4 linked regions of the Macaca fascicularis genome follow. The protein of the gene in region 3 interacts with the protein of the main gene of each other region in a biochemical or structural test. Links are inferred from orthologs where the notes say so. Each region holds a gene or a part of one and is shown on either strand. Other genes may lie near its edges.

What was found. The genes of interacting proteins can lie anywhere in the genome.
Region 1: the proteins of PLCG1 (region 3) and LAT form a complex in vitro, tested with the Homo sapiens proteins (2 studies listed by BioGRID and IntAct, with this or other methods). The link is inferred for Macaca fascicularis from reciprocal best matches to the Homo sapiens genes PLCG1 and LAT.
Region 2: the proteins of PLCG1 (region 3) and PDGFRA form a complex in vitro, tested with the Homo sapiens proteins (2 studies listed by BioGRID, with this or other methods). The link is inferred for Macaca fascicularis from reciprocal best matches to the Homo sapiens genes PLCG1 and PDGFRA.
Region 4: the proteins of PLCG1 (region 3) and EEF1A1 form a complex in vitro, tested with the Homo sapiens proteins (2 studies listed by BioGRID, with this or other methods). The link is inferred for Macaca fascicularis from reciprocal best matches to the Homo sapiens genes PLCG1 and EEF1A1.

The regions. Positions count from the first base shown.
Region 1 is NC_088394.1:27,476,392-27,480,252, reverse strand, and holds the end of LAT (linker for activation of T-cells family member 1), read left to right. Parts: intron 1-1,976; coding exon 1,977-2,039; intron 2,040-2,223; coding exon 2,224-2,289; intron 2,290-2,382; coding exon 2,383-2,462; 3' UTR 2,463-2,470; intron 2,471-2,637; 3' UTR 2,638-3,271; downstream 3,272-3,861. UniProt on the Homo sapiens protein: Required for TCR (T-cell antigen receptor)- and pre-TCR-mediated signaling, both in mature T-cells and during their development.
Region 2 is NC_088379.1:79,632,786-79,636,664, forward strand, and holds part of PDGFRA (platelet-derived growth factor receptor alpha), read right to left. Parts: intron 2,074-3,879; coding exon 1,813-2,073; intron 797-1,812; coding exon 666-796; intron 1-665. UniProt on the Homo sapiens protein: Tyrosine-protein kinase that acts as a cell-surface receptor for PDGFA, PDGFB and PDGFC and plays an essential role in the regulation of embryonic development, cell proliferation, survival and chemotaxis.
Region 3 is NC_088384.1:97,270,875-97,274,753, reverse strand, and holds part of PLCG1 (1-phosphatidylinositol 4,5-bisphosphate phosphodiesterase gamma-1), read right to left. Parts: intron 3,845-3,879; coding exon 3,759-3,844; intron 3,685-3,758; coding exon 3,564-3,684; intron 2,846-3,563; coding exon 2,677-2,845; intron 2,533-2,676; coding exon 2,410-2,532; intron 2,328-2,409; coding exon 2,226-2,327; intron 2,140-2,225; coding exon 1,952-2,139; intron 1,616-1,951; coding exon 1,415-1,615; intron 1,339-1,414; coding exon 1,219-1,338; intron 1,136-1,218; coding exon 955-1,135; intron 1-954. UniProt on the Homo sapiens protein: Mediates the production of the second messenger molecules diacylglycerol (DAG) and inositol 1,4,5-trisphosphate (IP3). Plays an important role in the regulation of intracellular signaling cascades.
Region 4 is NC_088378.1:101,525,204-101,529,451, reverse strand, and holds the end of EEF1A1 (elongation factor 1-alpha 1), read right to left. Parts: intron 4,122-4,248; exon of another isoform or gene 4,087-4,121; intron 3,141-4,086; 5' UTR 3,111-3,140; coding exon 2,967-3,110; intron 2,613-2,966; coding exon 2,433-2,612; intron 2,312-2,432; coding exon 2,015-2,311; intron 1,932-2,014; coding exon 1,781-1,931; intron 1,694-1,780; coding exon 1,437-1,693; intron 1,340-1,436; coding exon 1,105-1,339; intron 1,011-1,104; coding exon 886-1,010; 3' UTR 591-885; downstream 1-590. UniProt on the Homo sapiens protein: Translation elongation factor that catalyzes the GTP-dependent binding of aminoacyl-tRNA (aa-tRNA) to the A-site of ribosomes during the elongation phase of protein synthesis.

The DNA of each region.
Region 1 (3,861 bases), on a different chromosome or scaffold from region 3:
CGCGGTGGCTCAAGCCTGTAATCCCAGCACTTTGGGAGGCCGAGACGGGTGGATCACAACGTCAGGAGATCGAGACCATCCTGCCTAACACGGTGAAACCCCGTCTCTACTAAAAAATACAAAAAACTAGCCGGGCGAGGTGGCGGGCGCCTGTAGTCCCAGCTACTCGGGAAGCTGAGGCAGGAGAATGGCTTGAACCCGGGAGGCAGAGCTTGCAGTGAGCTGAGATCCGGCCACTGCACTCCAGCCTGGGCGACAGAGCAAGACTCCGTCTCAAAAAAAAAAAAAAAAAAAAAATAGCTGGCTGGGCATGGTGGCTTACTCCTGTAATCCCAGCACTTTGGGAGGCCGAGGCGGGAGGATTGCTTGAGTCCAGGAGTTCAAGACCAGCCTGAGCAACATGGTTAAACCTCATCTTTACAAAACATAAAAAAAAAATTAACCAAGCGTGGTGGCACATGCCTGTAGTCCCAGCTGCTCAGGAGACTGAGATGGGCAGATCACCTGAGCCCGGGAAGCGGAAGTTGCAGTGAGCCGAGATCATGCCACTGTGCTCCAGCCTGGGTAACAGAGTGTTTTAAAAAAAAAAAAAAAAAAAAATAGCTAAGATTCACCGAGGGCCTCCTGCATGCCTTGCTGAGTCTGACATATGTTCACTCACTAACCTCACCGCCCTGGAGCTCCCGGGCCTGCCCTCGCCCTCCTGTGCTCCAATTGTCCCCCTTTGTGTGATGCAGGGTTTATCTGTTTAACAGCACTGTTATGTCACAGGTCCTATTTTACAGAGGAGAAAACTAGGGCACAGAGAGGTTATGTGGTTGGTTAGTACTGGAGCTGGGATTGAACCGGGGCGGTCTTCAAAAACAAACATGAAACACATAAGAGAACCAAATAGGCTGGGCATGGTGGCTCACGCCTGTAATCCCAGCACTTTGGGAGGTGGGTGGATCACCTGAGGTCAGGAGTTCAAGACCGACCTGGCCAACATGGTGAAACCCCGTCTCTACTAAAAATACCAAAATTAGCAGGGCGTGGTGGCGGGCGCCTGTAATCCCAGCTACTCAGGAGGCTGAGGCAAGAGAATTGCTTGAACCGGGAGGCAGAGGTTGCAGTGAGCCAAGATCACACCACTGCCCTCCAGCCCTCTGGGCAACAGAGGGAGACTCCATCTCAAAAACAAATAAATAAATAAAATAAAAGAACCAAATAACCAGGCATGGTAGCTGATACCTGTGATCCCAGGACTTTGGGAGGCTGAGGCGGGTGGGTCACTTGAACCCAGGAGTTCAAGACCAGCCTGGGCAGCATAAGGAGACCCTGTGTCTACAAAAAATCCAAAATTTAGCCTGGCCTGGTAGGAGCTGAGGTGGGAAGATCATCTGAGTCTGGGAGGTCAAGGCTGTGGTGAGCCGAGATTGCGCCACTGCATTCCAGCCTGGGCAACAGAGCGAGACCGTGTCTCAAGAAAAACAAAAACAAACAAAACCCCCAAATAACATGGATGGTGACAGGCGCCATGAGGGGCTGATATGGGAGTGGGACACAGGCAGTGGCTGGCAGGGGGCGGGCGGGGATGGGGGTAAGGGAGGAAGAGGTTCCTGCTGGGCCAAGTGTGTCATGTCCCCTCCACACATGCCACCAAACTCCTACTGCTCCGAGCCATACTCCGTCCCTGTTCCCCAGCCTAGGGGCTGTGCTGGGGCCTGACCCTTCGTGAACCCTCCTCAGTCCCGGTCAAGTGGACCTCCTCCCCCGCTCTCCACAGCCCTCGCCTTGTCTAGGCCACCATCACCATCACCAACACCATCCTTGCCAGCCTGGAGTGCCCGCTCTCCATTCTGTGGGGCTAATGGGGGTGGCTGTGTGGGGAGCCTCTGGGGTCTACTGTTGGGGGTGACTGAGGTTGGGGGTTCTCTGGGAACCTGTGGCCAAGGGTCTCTGGTCACAGTGCTGAGGTGGGGCTGGCTTTCCCACAGTGGAGTCCATTGATGATTACGTGAACGTTCCGGAGAGCGGGGAGAGCGCAGAAGCGTCTCTAGGTGAGTGACCGGTGCTCCTCGGTGCCTGCCCCTGCACCCCGCCACCCCACCATGCTCTCAATGTGACCAGACCCCACCCTGGGACTGCCCACACCCTCTGCCCCCTCTGTCTGGGCCTCCCCCTGCTCTCTTGCCCTCCTGACCCCTTTGCATGGCTGCCCCTCCTTCTGATCTGTCTCCACAGATGGCAGCCGGGAGTATGTGAATGTGTCCCAGGAGCTGCATCCTGGAGCGGCTAAGACTGAGCCTGGTGTGTGCTGCGGGAGGCGCAGGAGCTGGGGTAGCTGCCTTGGGCTTGGGGGGATAGCTTGCAAGCTGGAGACCAACCTCCCCTCCCCTACAGCCGCCCTGAGTTCCCAGAAGGCGGAGGAAGTGGAGGAAGAGGGGGCTCCAGATTACGAGAATCTGCAGGAGCTGAACTGAGGGCCTGGGTGAGAGGCCTGCCCTGTCCCCACCCTGTCCTGGGCCCGCAGCCTCTATTCCCTCCCTCCAGGACCCCTGCCCAACCCTACCTCCGGCTTGTCCCTCTGTCTCTGGGTACCTGCAGATCCCCATCAGCCTCCTGATCCATATCCCTCCCTGCCCTGGTGTGTTTCAGTGGAGGCCGAGTCTGTCCTGGAACCAAGCTTGTCTGGGACGGCTGGAGCTGGACAGCTGGAAGTGGCTCTGGGTTCTCACATGGCGTCCTGCCCTTGCTCCAGCCTGACAACAGCCTGAGAAATCCCCCCGTAACTTATTACCACTTTGCGGTTCGGCCTGTGTCCCCCGAACACTCTGCACCTTCTGACGCAGCCTGACAACAATGACCTGCCCTGGCCCCAGCCCTGCTCTGTGTAATAGAATAAAGGCCTGCGTGTGTCTGTGTTGAGCGTGCATCTGTGTGTGCCCGTGTGTGAGTCTGAATCAGAGATTTGGAGATGTCTGTGTGTGTGTCTGTGTCTGTGTGTGTGTGTCTGTGGGTCTCCATCCTTCATGGGGGCTCAGCCAGGTGCTGTGAGTGACAGCAGACAGTGGCTGGGACACCCCCCTTCTGAATGAGGCCTTCTGACTTGGGCTGGCACTGCTGAGGCTCAGGACACATCGCCCCATGAGACAGTCCCAGGACGCGGCAGCTGCTGGCTGTGACAAGGGTTTCGCCATCCGTAGGCCAAGGGATGGGACCTGATGACCTGGGAGGACTCTCTTAGTTCTTACCTTTTGTGGTTCTCAATAAAACAGAACTTAAAAAATCATCTAAGCAACTGAAAAAGTTAATATGCAGCACAGCACTTTTGAGACTTTGATGGGTAGGTGACTCACCAGCAGACTTTACTGTGGGGTGGGTTCTGACTCAGTTCGCCTAGGACGTGGCCTGCGACTTTGCATTTCTGAGCCGCTCCTGTGTGATTCTGATGCTGCTGGTCTGTGAACCTCATCTTGTGGAGCAAGGGCATGGTGAGCATCTATTGCCTTTACTTGACCGGGATCCATTTCCCTATTTTGGGAATTTCACCCTGGCTTTCCTCCGCGATTCACTCCTTTCCCAGTCTCATTTCATGTAGTTTTAGAGATTGTGTGTGTGTGTTTTTTTTTTTTTTTTTGAAATGGGGTCTCCCTCTGTCACCCAGGCTGGAGTGCAGTGGCACGATCTTGGCTCACTGCAACCTCTACCTCCTGGGTTCAAGCAATTCTCTCGCCTCAGCCTCCTGAGTAGCTGGGATTACAGACCCCCACTACCACACCCGGCTAATTTTTGTATTTTTAGTAGAGATGGGTTTCAGCATGTTGGCTGGGCTGGTCTCAAACTCCTGACCTCAGGTGATCCCACCCACCTCGGCCTCCC
Region 2 (3,879 bases), on a different chromosome or scaffold from region 3:
TCCAGTGACCAAGAGGCAGCATGGTGGCTCCCTTTCCCCACTTCCATCTCCCCTCCTCCCTTCATCCGGCAATATTGGACCAGCTTCTGGTACGGTGCTTGAGATTGAGTAAAACATCATTAAACCTTTGTTGAATGATTACATAGTGACTGTTCACTGAACGTGAGCCATGCAAAGGTCAGGCACATAGGAGGTGGAACAGGAAGACACACTGTCCTCAGTGTCAACAAGGCAGAACAGGAAGGAGTGCAGGCAATAAACACTATCAAATGAATCAACCGTCAGAAGCACAGAAGCCAAGACAATGACAATTAATGACTCTCCGCAATAGTAAAATCCAGCGGTTTTTTTGCTCTTCTAATTTTTTGGTTGATATTTTGTAGCCAGAGAACCTTCCTATTTCTGTCTGACTTCTGAGAAAGAAGGCTTAGTGCACACTCTTTATGTATTCTGAAGGCCCTGGTCCAGCAACTGTCGTTTCAAACTCGCCCATTGATCAAGGAGCCCTAAAGGCTTTTTAATCAAATGTGTTCATCATAGAGGTGGGAAGCTAAGGTCTAGAGAAACTCAGTGATGTGCCCATCAGTGACAGACCCAGCACAAATGCAGGTCTTCTGAGCCCTGCTGCTCTGCTCCAAGCCATTGCACATTTTGAGGGTACCTACCACTTCTCCAGGGTAAGTCCACTGAAGGTCAACCACCTCATTGTTAAAAACAGCACAGGTGACCACAATCGTTTCCCCTGACTTATACACGGTTTTAAGAGCTTCCATTTCTAGATCCAGCTCTGATGTTGCTATAAAAAAGAACAAATACAAGGGCCTAAAAATCCATAGGATAGTAAGGATCTTATAAAGTTTGGGTGGTGGTGTTGTTTTTTGTTTTTTTAAGAAAACCCTGAAAAATAATTTGTGAACCAATTATGAATAAAAGCCCTGATCAAGATAAAATTTAGAAAATCTCACAAGGCTTGATTTTGAGATGGTGTACAACAATTAGGTGTATAGTTATAATACAGAATTATAAAATAATAACAATAAAAATAAATTCCAATCACTGCATTCCTCAGCAGTGCGTTAGTTATGGTTATACTCGTCTACCATCACCTTGACTGACATACTTATTCATTTAATCAACCAACCTTTGATGATCCACACTGCTCTAGACACTTTGTTTCTATCCAATTTTTTCTTCTCTTCTTCTCTTCCACTCTGCTCCTCAGTTATTCTCAGTACTTTCCCAGAACCCAGCACAGTGCCTGGCACAAAATTAGCTGTGCTCTGATTTTCAAACAGTGTACTCTTGCTGCTACCCATTCCTCCACATAGAATAGTGGTCAGGAAATATCTGTTGACCTCAGCATGTATTATACTTCCCCAAGCGTACTAACTGTGGACATCAAAGGGTTGAAGTCTACAACTACTTTCTTCAGAATTGAAATCATTTTCCTTAAGTTACTAAATTAATCTAGGAATCTAACCCCCGAGGTGTATGCTTGTTTTAGGGCCTCCGTAGTCAGGAATGTGAATGAAAGTAAGAGGCTTATATAAGAAAAGAATTCCTTACAGTATTTTGAAGTCAACTGATGAAACATGAAATCTTGCATGAGTAATCAAGCTTTAGCCTTTAGTAATTTTAAGCTTATTATTATAGCCATAGAGGTCACCTTGACACTGTATTAGCTGGGGTCCTAAATCCCCAAATCAGAATTTAGGATCACCAGTGGTGATGATTTTAAAAAAAAATCATACATGCACCTGATGATTATGCCTGTTACTCTTATTTAAAGAAGGAAGGAGATGATATGAGTACCTTTTAAAGCATAAACGTTAAATGGGATGGTCTGGAACTTCTTTCCTTTGACGGTGGCCTCACAGATATAGGGCCCTACAGTGAAGGTCCCATTAAAGCCCTGTCTGCTGTTGTAGGAGGCAGGTACCACCCCCTCACTGTTGTGTAAAGTTACAGGAGTCTCAGGATCAGTTGTGCGACAAGGTATGATGGCAGAATCATCGTCCTCCACGATGACTAAATAATCCGTCATTCCTAGAGGTACAAAGGCTACATCTGGGTCTGTGGTTTAAAAAAGAATGAAGACTCCATTAGACATTAATTTCACCTTTACACATAAATCCAGAAACACTATCCCACTGGCAGTATTGATATTAGGTATGAAGTTCACCTTTACACATATATCCAGAAGAATTGCCCCACTGGCATTAGTTATCATGACAGCTACAAAGTGATTTTTAAGTGTGAATAATGTCAAATTGCTTGTCTCCTGATGGATAATACTGATGATAAATATTAATAATGGATAAGAGTTGTGGCTCATGCCTTTAATCCCAGCACTTTGGGAAGCCAAGGTGGGAGGGTTGCTTGTGTTCAGGAGTTTGAGACCAGGCTGGGCAACATAGAGAGACCCTGTCTCTACAAATAAATAAATAAATACTAACCAGGAATCTAAATCAAAATTTAAACAACTAAAAACAAAAATGAACAATAAAATATTTAATAGAGTCCAACTCTGTTCAAAACAGGAAAAAATATTTCTAGTTTTATTATGAAATACTTTCAAAAAACTCTTATCACCTGTAGTCAGTACGATTGAAAAGTAGCACAGAAATGTGTTTGTTAAAAAGTAATCCTTTGAGAAATACATAAAATTTAAAGAAGGAGAAGGAGAAGGAGCCTGAGAATTTCCTTTCCAAAAGAAAAACAGCTACTTAAGCTACGGTGGTAAGAAGTTCTAAGAGTCTCAAACATCAGCTGCAGAAAAGGCCCCTAAATCTCCATTATTGTGAAATCAAAAGATCTCTGTCAGACAGCGATGCAGGGGCTACTTGGATGGCGTCTGTGCTGGAAAAAGATAGGGAACAAGAAGAATTTTTGGACAATCTTACACGGATTAAAACCAGGGACTTGTGTGCCTTTAACATATTCACGATCCTACCATTCTCTTCACAGCAGGGGAAAATCCCTCCACACCTAGAGGATTTTCCTGAAGGAATCTAAGTGTGAATGAAGTTGGGGTGACATTCTAAATGTCTTACCTTTTCAAAACAAAGTTGTTTATTTTTTCCTTAATTGTTAAGAAGGAAGGCTCATATGAATAAGAGTATCATGAAAGAAGTAAAGAGGGTCTAGGTCCCTGGGGACACCCATAGTTACAGAGGGTAGGAAGAGGAGCCCATTAAAAACTGAAAAAGAAAAGGCAGAAAGGTAGGAAGACACACTTCTGTGAGAACCCCCTTCCTCGACCTATGCCAAAACGGCAAGGATGGCAAGAATCCTAAGCGGTTTCTGTTTTGTTCTAAAACCAAGGATTCTAGCCACAGTCCTTTTTAATTTACCCAACTGCATACTGAAATTGCCACCACTTGTGTTCAATCCTTTGTCCTTTTAATTAAAATGTAGGAGTAGGCCGGGCCCAGTGGCTCACGCCCGTAACCCCAGAACTTTGGAAGGCTGAGGTGGGTGGGGCTCACTTGAGCCCAGGAGTTCGAGACCAGCCTGGGCCACACAGTGAAACCCTATCTCTACAAAAAAAATACAAAAATTTCGGCATAGTGGCTCACGCCTGTAATCCCAGCATTTTGGGAGGCCGAAGCAGATAGATTACTTAAGGTCAGGAGTTCAAGACCAGCCTGGTCAATATGGTGAAACCCCTGTCTCAAATGAAAATACACACACACAAAAATTTTTTAAATATAAAAATTAGCCAGGCGTGGTGGTGCATGCCTGTAATCCCAGCTACTTGGGAGGCTGAAGTGGGAGGATCGCTTGAACCAGGGGAGTTGAGGTTGCAGTAAGCCATGATCATGCCACTGCATTCCAGCCTGGGCAACAGAGTGAGACCCTGTTTCAAAATATATATAT
Region 3 (3,879 bases):
TTCCCTTTCCCCCAGTGCAGCAAACTTCCACCTGGCCTTCCTCATCAGGCCACCAAGGCGGCCACCACCACTAGCACCTGGTCCACAGGGATCCTTCAACCTCAGCGGAGATGGCTTCAGAGGCCTCAGGCCGGGTCTCACCCTTTCTTTTCTTCACATTCTTATACGTGAGGCCCAGTCCAGGATTCCAAAATCTCTCAGGTCCGAAATGCCCAAACTCCCAAGTATTTCTGAGCTATGTGCAGGTGGGCCCTTCACAGACTACCCATATTCAGTGCTTTAGTTCAGTGGCTCATCGGTTCGCTGCTGAGCCCAAAGTCAGGAAGAGCCTTTCCACTCCCCACACTCCTCCGGCCACTCCTCTCCATCACCTGAGCCCCTGGTGCCAGTGGACAACAGGCCTCTCCCCAGCCAGCCCTGTCTGCTGACGACATAAGTCTCTCAACTGATCTCCTGGTCCTAGACCCCTTTCTTCTGTCCAGGGCCCTTATCACCAGCTGTGCTGCCATGAGTCCCGACTTTTTCCCTCAGTGGTCTCACCTCCTGTGGCTCTGCCCTCCATACCATCCACCAGGAGGCTCCACAGCTACTCTTGGGTAGCCTCTTCCTACCTGCCCTAGGACAGAGTCCAGGCCAAGCCCAGGTTGATGAGCTTCCACTGTGTGCACCTCTCCCAGCGTGAGCCCCAGAACCTCCTCACTCCTCACCTTGACTCATGGGGAACCCGCTGCTTATGTGCCTGTCCCCATCCTTGTGGACACTGCTCAGGTGTCCCCTCCTCCAGACACCCTCCTGGTACCCACACTGGCTCCCAGCTGGACTCAGGGGCCTTCCTATGAACTCCTACAACACCCCAGGCCTTGCTGTTACACATATCCAGATTATCCAGTGACTGCTAAGATTCTGGGTCTCTCCTGCCTCCCCTGCCATGCCCCGTCTACCACAGCCCCTCACAGCTGTGCCAATCTTCTCCAGCGCCTCCTCATTGATTGGGTAGCGCAGCTTCATCTTGCGGTATAGCGGGTGCTTCTCATAGTAGCTGATGAGGTCAACAAGGCTGTCGAACTCCGAGTTCCCTAGCATCACAGTCTGGCCCTCTTGCTGGACACGGCAATGCTTGATCTTGCCTTCAGCCCTTCACAAGGACAAAACAGTCACACAGGGTCAGGGCAGCTCAGACCCAAGCAAGGCCCCACAACCCAGGGCCATACCCCTCACCGGAAAGAGATGGCATATGAGTTGGGCTCATTCCGCTTCCGCACCAGGAAGGCCCCATCACGAGGGACACGCATCAGCATGTGCTCAGCCTGTGCTCTGGTCAGGCTCGCGTGGTACCACCTGAGGACAGGCAGAGTCAGGCCCAGCCAGCACCACCCATTGCCCTGCCCTGCCCACCCCCAGGTCCCTCCCTCACTCTTTGCTCTCATGGGCATTGGTCTGTGGGACAGGCTCTGAAAGTCGCATCTCAAACTCATTGCAGCGCAGGGGCACCTGCTGGTAGTGTGTGATGAGGTCATAGAGGGAGTCAAAGACGAGGTTGTCTGTCAAGAAGAACTTGGGGGTCCCAGCATCTTGCCGTGAGTGGATACGGCAGTGCTGGACTTTCCCGTTCCGCCTGTGGAAGACACAACGTGAGGGAGGCTGGGAGAAATAGGCCAGGGCCCCAAAGACCAAGTTCCACCTCAAATGAGGCACCGAGCCTCAAGGAGGGAGGCCAATCTCCTGAGGAGCTCAGGTGTGGGCAGTTGCACTGAAAGGCTTCAAATGAACCAAAAAGGGAGGGGTATGGCGGGGGGGGGGGGTGAGAGAGAGAGAGAGAAATTTATGTTCCATGTAAAGCATAATTATTGTTCTGGATCAAAGGCTCAAATGTTAACTGATTATCTCTGGGTGGTGTCATGTCTGTGTACACACGCTGACTGAATATGTGCATCTGCATGGGAAGTGTTACCAGAAAGAGAGCGTGTAGTCGCCCACGAAGGTCTCACTCTCTCGCACGAGGAAGGAGCCGTCAGGGGCCCCGGTCTCGATGCAGTACTCAGTGAGCAGGCGCTCAGCGATGTGCCGCCCGTCACGCCCTGCCCCTAGCTTCCCATGGAACCACTTCTCATTGGAGTGCAGCTCTGTGCTGCTGCTGACCTGTCAGGGGAAGGCAACAGCAAAGACACTGGGACCCTGGCCCAGGCCCGACCTGGCCCAGCCCCAGACCTGAGCTGGTTCCTCACCTCCTTGGGCTCCTCCTCATCCTCGTTGCCCTGGTCACTGCTGGTCTCCTCAGAGTAGTAGATCTTGCTGCTGGTCAGAACGAAGTAGTGGGGATACCATTCCTGGAACGGACCAAAGAGGGACTTGTGAGCCAGGGTCCTCACACCCACTGGCCCACCACCCCCAGCCCGGCCCAGTCCTCACATGGTTCACAGGGTCCTCCAGGTAGAGGATGCCATTCTTGATGGAGTTGCTGATGTCGTTCTCAGAGTACATCATGGATGTAGGCACCTCCTCGTAGGCACTGCCCTCAGCCAGCTTCTTGTGCTGGAGGGGCAACCAGAGCAAGGCAATGCAGACTCCAGTCATCACCCCACCTCCTCACCCAGGCGTAGGCCCAATAGCTGAAGCCATGGCCTGGGCGAGGCACTGAGAAGTGTGGGGCTTCCCCAGTAAGCCCACCACCCCCACCTTGATGAGGATCTTCCTCTTAAGCTGGTTGGGTGAGGGGAGCCCATCGGCGGAGATCTCCACGGGCTTGGTGAGGAGTGTGTCCCCTAGCACCTTCTTGAAGTGCTGGGCCATGTTCCTCTGCTGGGCAATGCTGCAGTGGTCCTCAATGGACAGGATGACTGGGTACCTGCAGGGTGGGGGACAAGCACAGTGAAACAGATTCTGCAATTCTCTGGGGTCTAAGTAGCCCCTCACAGTGAGGTGTTGGGAGCCAAGGGCCTGGGGATTTCTTGTCTATAAAAACTATCCCAGGCCATAGCCACTGGCGGGGCAGCGGGGGTTCTACAGCTGTGGCAGCAGTGGAAATCAAAGGGTGGCCACTGATGCAGCCCGAGCTGGCCCAATTATGGAGGCTGCTCAGCAGTGCAAGAAAAATGAGGCCACCAAAGAGGCCAGGAGAGAGGAGAAGCCTCCAAAGTTAGCTGTTAGAGCCCTGGTGAGCTAAGGGAGACCAGTGACCACAGTTTAAGCAGTAAACAGAATTGAAGGAATGGGACATAGGGAAGACAGACAATCTCCTGGGCTGTGAGGGCAAAGGAGTTGGCAGGACACTGGCCTAAAGAAAGCAGGGCATGTTTCCTGAAGATGAGAAGAGCATGTGTTGTACAGTCTAAAGGACCCATGAAAAAGAAAGTGGGCTCAACATGTAGGAAACAGAAAGTGTAACTTGGGAAGCAACAGCTCAAACAGGAAGCAGGTGACGAGGAGAGGCCAAGAGGAAGGACAAAGATGAAAGGCTGAGGGAGAGGGGACAGGGTATTCGAGGAGTCTTGCTGCCCTCTGTCCCTCTAGAATGAGAGAGCTGGAGCCAAGTTAACCCCTGGGTCCTCCAGCCTCTGACTCACTCTGAGGCCACAAAGGCATGCTCCTTGATGGTTTGCAGGACATCTGAGAACTTGATCTTGGTGGTAAGGGTGTGCCCATGGTAAATAACTGGCATCCCATCTGGGCCGTCCCAGCAGTCCACTGGGGAGCAACATCATCATGGTCAAGCAGGCAGGCCTCCCATCTTCCCTCCCCCAGCCCCGGACCCCACGCACACTCAATGCAGCGACAGCCCATCCGCAGGCAGCGAGCATAGGCTTCCAAGGAGGACTCACTGGAGAACTGGTCCCCGGTCAGGTACCTGGATAGGCAAGGAGAGGCATGTATGGTCAGATA
Region 4 (4,248 bases), on a different chromosome or scaffold from region 3:
CCAATTTTATAGCTACTTCAAATTGCCATCTTTGTTAGCACCTTGTTCCTATTCTGAATAGCACTCAGTAAAACTTGTGAAACCAACTGGCATAAAGCTAACTCCACTGACTTTAAAATGGATCCCTCCACTCACATAGGGTGTGCACTAGCAACTACTTACTTCTTATGTCAGGGGAAATAGTCAACTTCCACTGCCCAGTCATTTTAACCTGTTTTAAAACGCACATCCCTGTAATTTGGAAACTATTTCATGTTTCCAAAGATTCACTTAACATTGGTTTAACTACATTAAGCTTTCTATGCAACACAAGGACTCTATTACAGCATTTGGCCTTCCTTAGTGACAGGCCATCAGTAACATGCTGCATTTCTCTCCAATGTGGAAATCAAAGCAGCCCTCCCATAGCTTAGATTCCTTCCCCTTCCAAGTACGTGGGAGGAAAACAACCTTATCTCCACCTAGAAGTGTTAACTTGAGAACTACATTTTCATAAAGTTTCCACAAATTCATAAAACCAGAATTACATGTCTTTCTCCTAAGCGAGGTAAAACTTGAAAGTTTCAGTGTTGACCAAAGGAACACACAGGTTTCTCATTAAACTTTTTTAATGGGTCTCAAAATTCTGTGACAAATTTTTGGTCAAGTTGTTTCCATTAAAAAGTACTGATTTTAAAAACTAATAACTTAAAACTGCCACACGCAAAAAAGAAAACCAAAGTGGTCCACAAAACATTCTCCTTTCCTTCTGAAGGTTTTACGATGCATTGTTATCATTAACCAGTCTTTTACTACTAAACTTAAATGGCCAATTGAAACAAACAGTTCTGAGACCGTTCTTCCACCACTGATTAAGAGTGGGGTGGCAGGTATTAGGGATAATATTCATTTAGCCTTCTGAGCTTTCTGGGCAGACTTGGTGACCTTGCCAGCTCCAGCAGCCTTCTTGTCCACTGCTTTGATGACACCCACCGCAACTGTCTGCCTCATATCACGAACAGCAAAGCGACCTATTAAAAAAAAAATGTAGTATTACCAAAACTGTTCACAGTTGTATTTTTCATCTTTAACACAACTTATTTACGTTTAAGTAATCATCCTTACCCAAAGGTGGATAGTCTGAGAAGCTCTCAACACACATAGGCTTGCCAGGAACCATATCAACAATGGCAGCATCACCAGACTTCAAGAATTTAGGGCCATCTTCCAGTTTTTTACCAGAACGGCGATCAATCTTTTCCTTCAGCTCAGCAAACTTGCATGCAATGTGAGCTGTGTGGCAGTCCAACACAGGGGCATAGCCAGCACTTATTTGGCCTGGATGGTTCAGGATAATCACCTTGGAAAAAAAGATTTGCGTTCAGTGTAAATCCAAAGTCTCAAATGACTTTAGCCTCTGCAATAAGGTAGGAACATGTTACTTTAAAAATTGTTACCTGAGCAGTGAAGCCAGCTGCTTCCATTGGTGGGTCGTTTTTGCTGTCACCAGCAACGTTGCCACGACGAACATCCTTGACAGACACATTCTTGACATTGAAGCCCACATTGTCCCCAGGAAGAGCTTCACTCAAAGCTTCATGGTGCATTTCGACAGATTTTACTTCAGTTGTAACGTTGACTGGAGCAAAGGTGACCACCATACCGGGTTTGAGAACACCAGTCTCCACTCGGCCAACAGGAACAGTACCAATACCTAAAAATATTTACAGCATACTAAATACCTATGAAGGAAGATAGTACTCTACCAACTCAAATTCAACTTTGTTGACACCCAACTTACCACCAATTTTGTAGACATCCTGGAGAGGCAGGCGCAAGGGCTTGTCAGTTGGACGAGTTGGTGGTAGGATGCAGTCCAGAGCCTCAAGCAGCGTGGTTCCACTGGCATTGCCATCCTTACGGGTGACCTTCCATCCCTTGAACCAAGGCATCTGAAACACAACCATGCCAATTTGTGTAAGCATGAAATCGCCATTCCCAGAGCTTTTTAACAACGGTCTTGAAAGCCACTTACGTTAGCACTTGGCTCCAGCATGTTGTCACCATTCCAACCAGAAATTGGCACAAATGCTACTGTGTCGGGGTTGTAGCCAATTTTCTTAATGTAAGTGCTGACTTCCTTAACAATTTCCTCGTATCTCTTCTGGCTGTAGGGTGGCTCAGTGGAATCCATTTTGTTAACACCAACAATTAGTTGTTTCACACCCAGTGTGTAAGCCAGAAGAGCATGCTCTCGGGTCTGCCCATTCTTGGAGATACCAGCTTCAAATTCACCAACACCAGCAGCAACAATCAGGACAGCACAGTCAGCCTTTAAAGAAAGCAAAGACATATCCCTGTCAACTCTCCAAAGGACAAAACCAATGCACAAGACAGGCATTTCAGGGGAAAAAAAAAAAAAAAAACAACCTAGAATTATTAATCCCACCAACCTGAGATGTCCCTGTAATCATGTTTTTGATGAAGTCTCTGTGTCCTGGGGCATCAATGATAGTCACATAATACTTGCTGGTCTCAAATTTCCACAAGGAGATATCAATGGTGATACCACGTTCCCGCTCAGCTTTCAGTTTATCCAAGACCCAGGCATACTTGAAGGAGCCCTTTCCCATCTGTAAGGATTAAGAGTTGTTACTTGGTTACTAACACACAAACTCCAGCTTCAATTTCTTTGCCCCCAGCCCTTAATTGGCACATAGTTTCCACTTTACAACTGCAAGTCCTAAGTGATTTTAGTCACTTAGATAGGGTTACAGAAGCAACCAAAAAGCAAACTTTTTAAAGTAGGATCTTGACTATTAATATCCAAATCGAAACTACTCACTAGCAATACGGTTACAGAAGTAACCAAAAGCAAACTATTTTAATAAGTAGGGTCAGATCTAAACCACTCACTAGTTCTGGGGAAATCACTACCACTTAATGATTCTGCTGGTAAAACTCATTTTAGTTCATCTTTCCCATACCTCAGCAGCCTCCTTCTCAAATTTTTCAATGGTTCTTTTGTCGATGCCACCGCATTTGTAGATCAGATGGCCAGTAGTGGTGGACTTGCCCGAATCTACGTGTCCAATGACGACAATGTTGATATGAGTCTTTTCCTTTCCCATTTTGGCTTTTAGGGGTAGTTTTCACGACACCTGAAATGGGAGAAAAAAACTTTGAACCACTGTCTGAAGCTTGAGAATAAGCCAAGATCCAAATTCGAAAAGGGCAAATTCCAAGGAGAATTACATCGAGCGCCAAGCTGGCCTAACTCTTCAGTCTCCACCCACCAAGTGTGGGGAAACTCCACCGCACAAAACCCCTCCCCCAAACCTAAGGAAGACGTACTCCAAAAGCTCGGAGAACTAATCGAGGTGCCTGGACGGCGCCCGGTACTCCGTGGGGTCACATGAAGCGGCGACCGAGGAGGGAAAGGCCCTTTTCCTTTGTGTGGGTGACTCACCCGCCCGCTCTCCCGGGCGCCGCGTCCTCCATTTTGAGCTCCCTGCGGCAGGGCCGGGAAGCGGCCATCTTTCCGCTCACGCAACTGGTGCCGACCGGGCCAGGCTTGCCGACCAGGGCGGGGCGACACACCGCCGCGCGAGGCCCGGCACCAGAGCAGGACGGCCAGCTTGAGACTCCCCCCGTCCGACTCTCGGTGGCCGCGCTCGCAGGCCCCGCCTCGCCGAACATGTGCGCTGGGACGCACGAGCCCCGTCGCAGCCCGCGGCCCCCAAAACCCCAATATCAGTGTGCAGATCCTGGTCCGCATTTATAAGATTATCTCGCCAGAAAAAAGGCGTTGCAGCTGGTCATCAAAAATTTTAAATGGCTAGAAACTTAGTGAAAGCAGCGGGGCAGGCGCGAAGGTGCTACCAGATTCGCACGCGGCAGCCCCAGAGCCCAAGCCAGGCCTCGACTCAAGCACGAGGCGAAGGGACTCCTTAAGTGCAAGGCCTCGACCTCTCCCACCCACTTCCAACCCGAAGCTCGGGATCAAGAATCACGTACAGCGGCCAGGGGCGTGTAAGTAATAAAAGGCACGCGAGGGCCATAGCCCGTAAAGAGGCCAGGCCCGCAGGAGCCACACACAGTACTTACCTGTGTTCTGGCGGCAAACCCGTTGCGAAAAAGAACGTTCACAGCGACTACTGCACTTATATACGGTTCTCCCCCACCCTCGGGAAAAGGGCGGAGCCAGTACACGACATCACTTTCCCAGTTTACCCCGCGCCACCTTCTCTAGGCACCGGTTCAATTGCC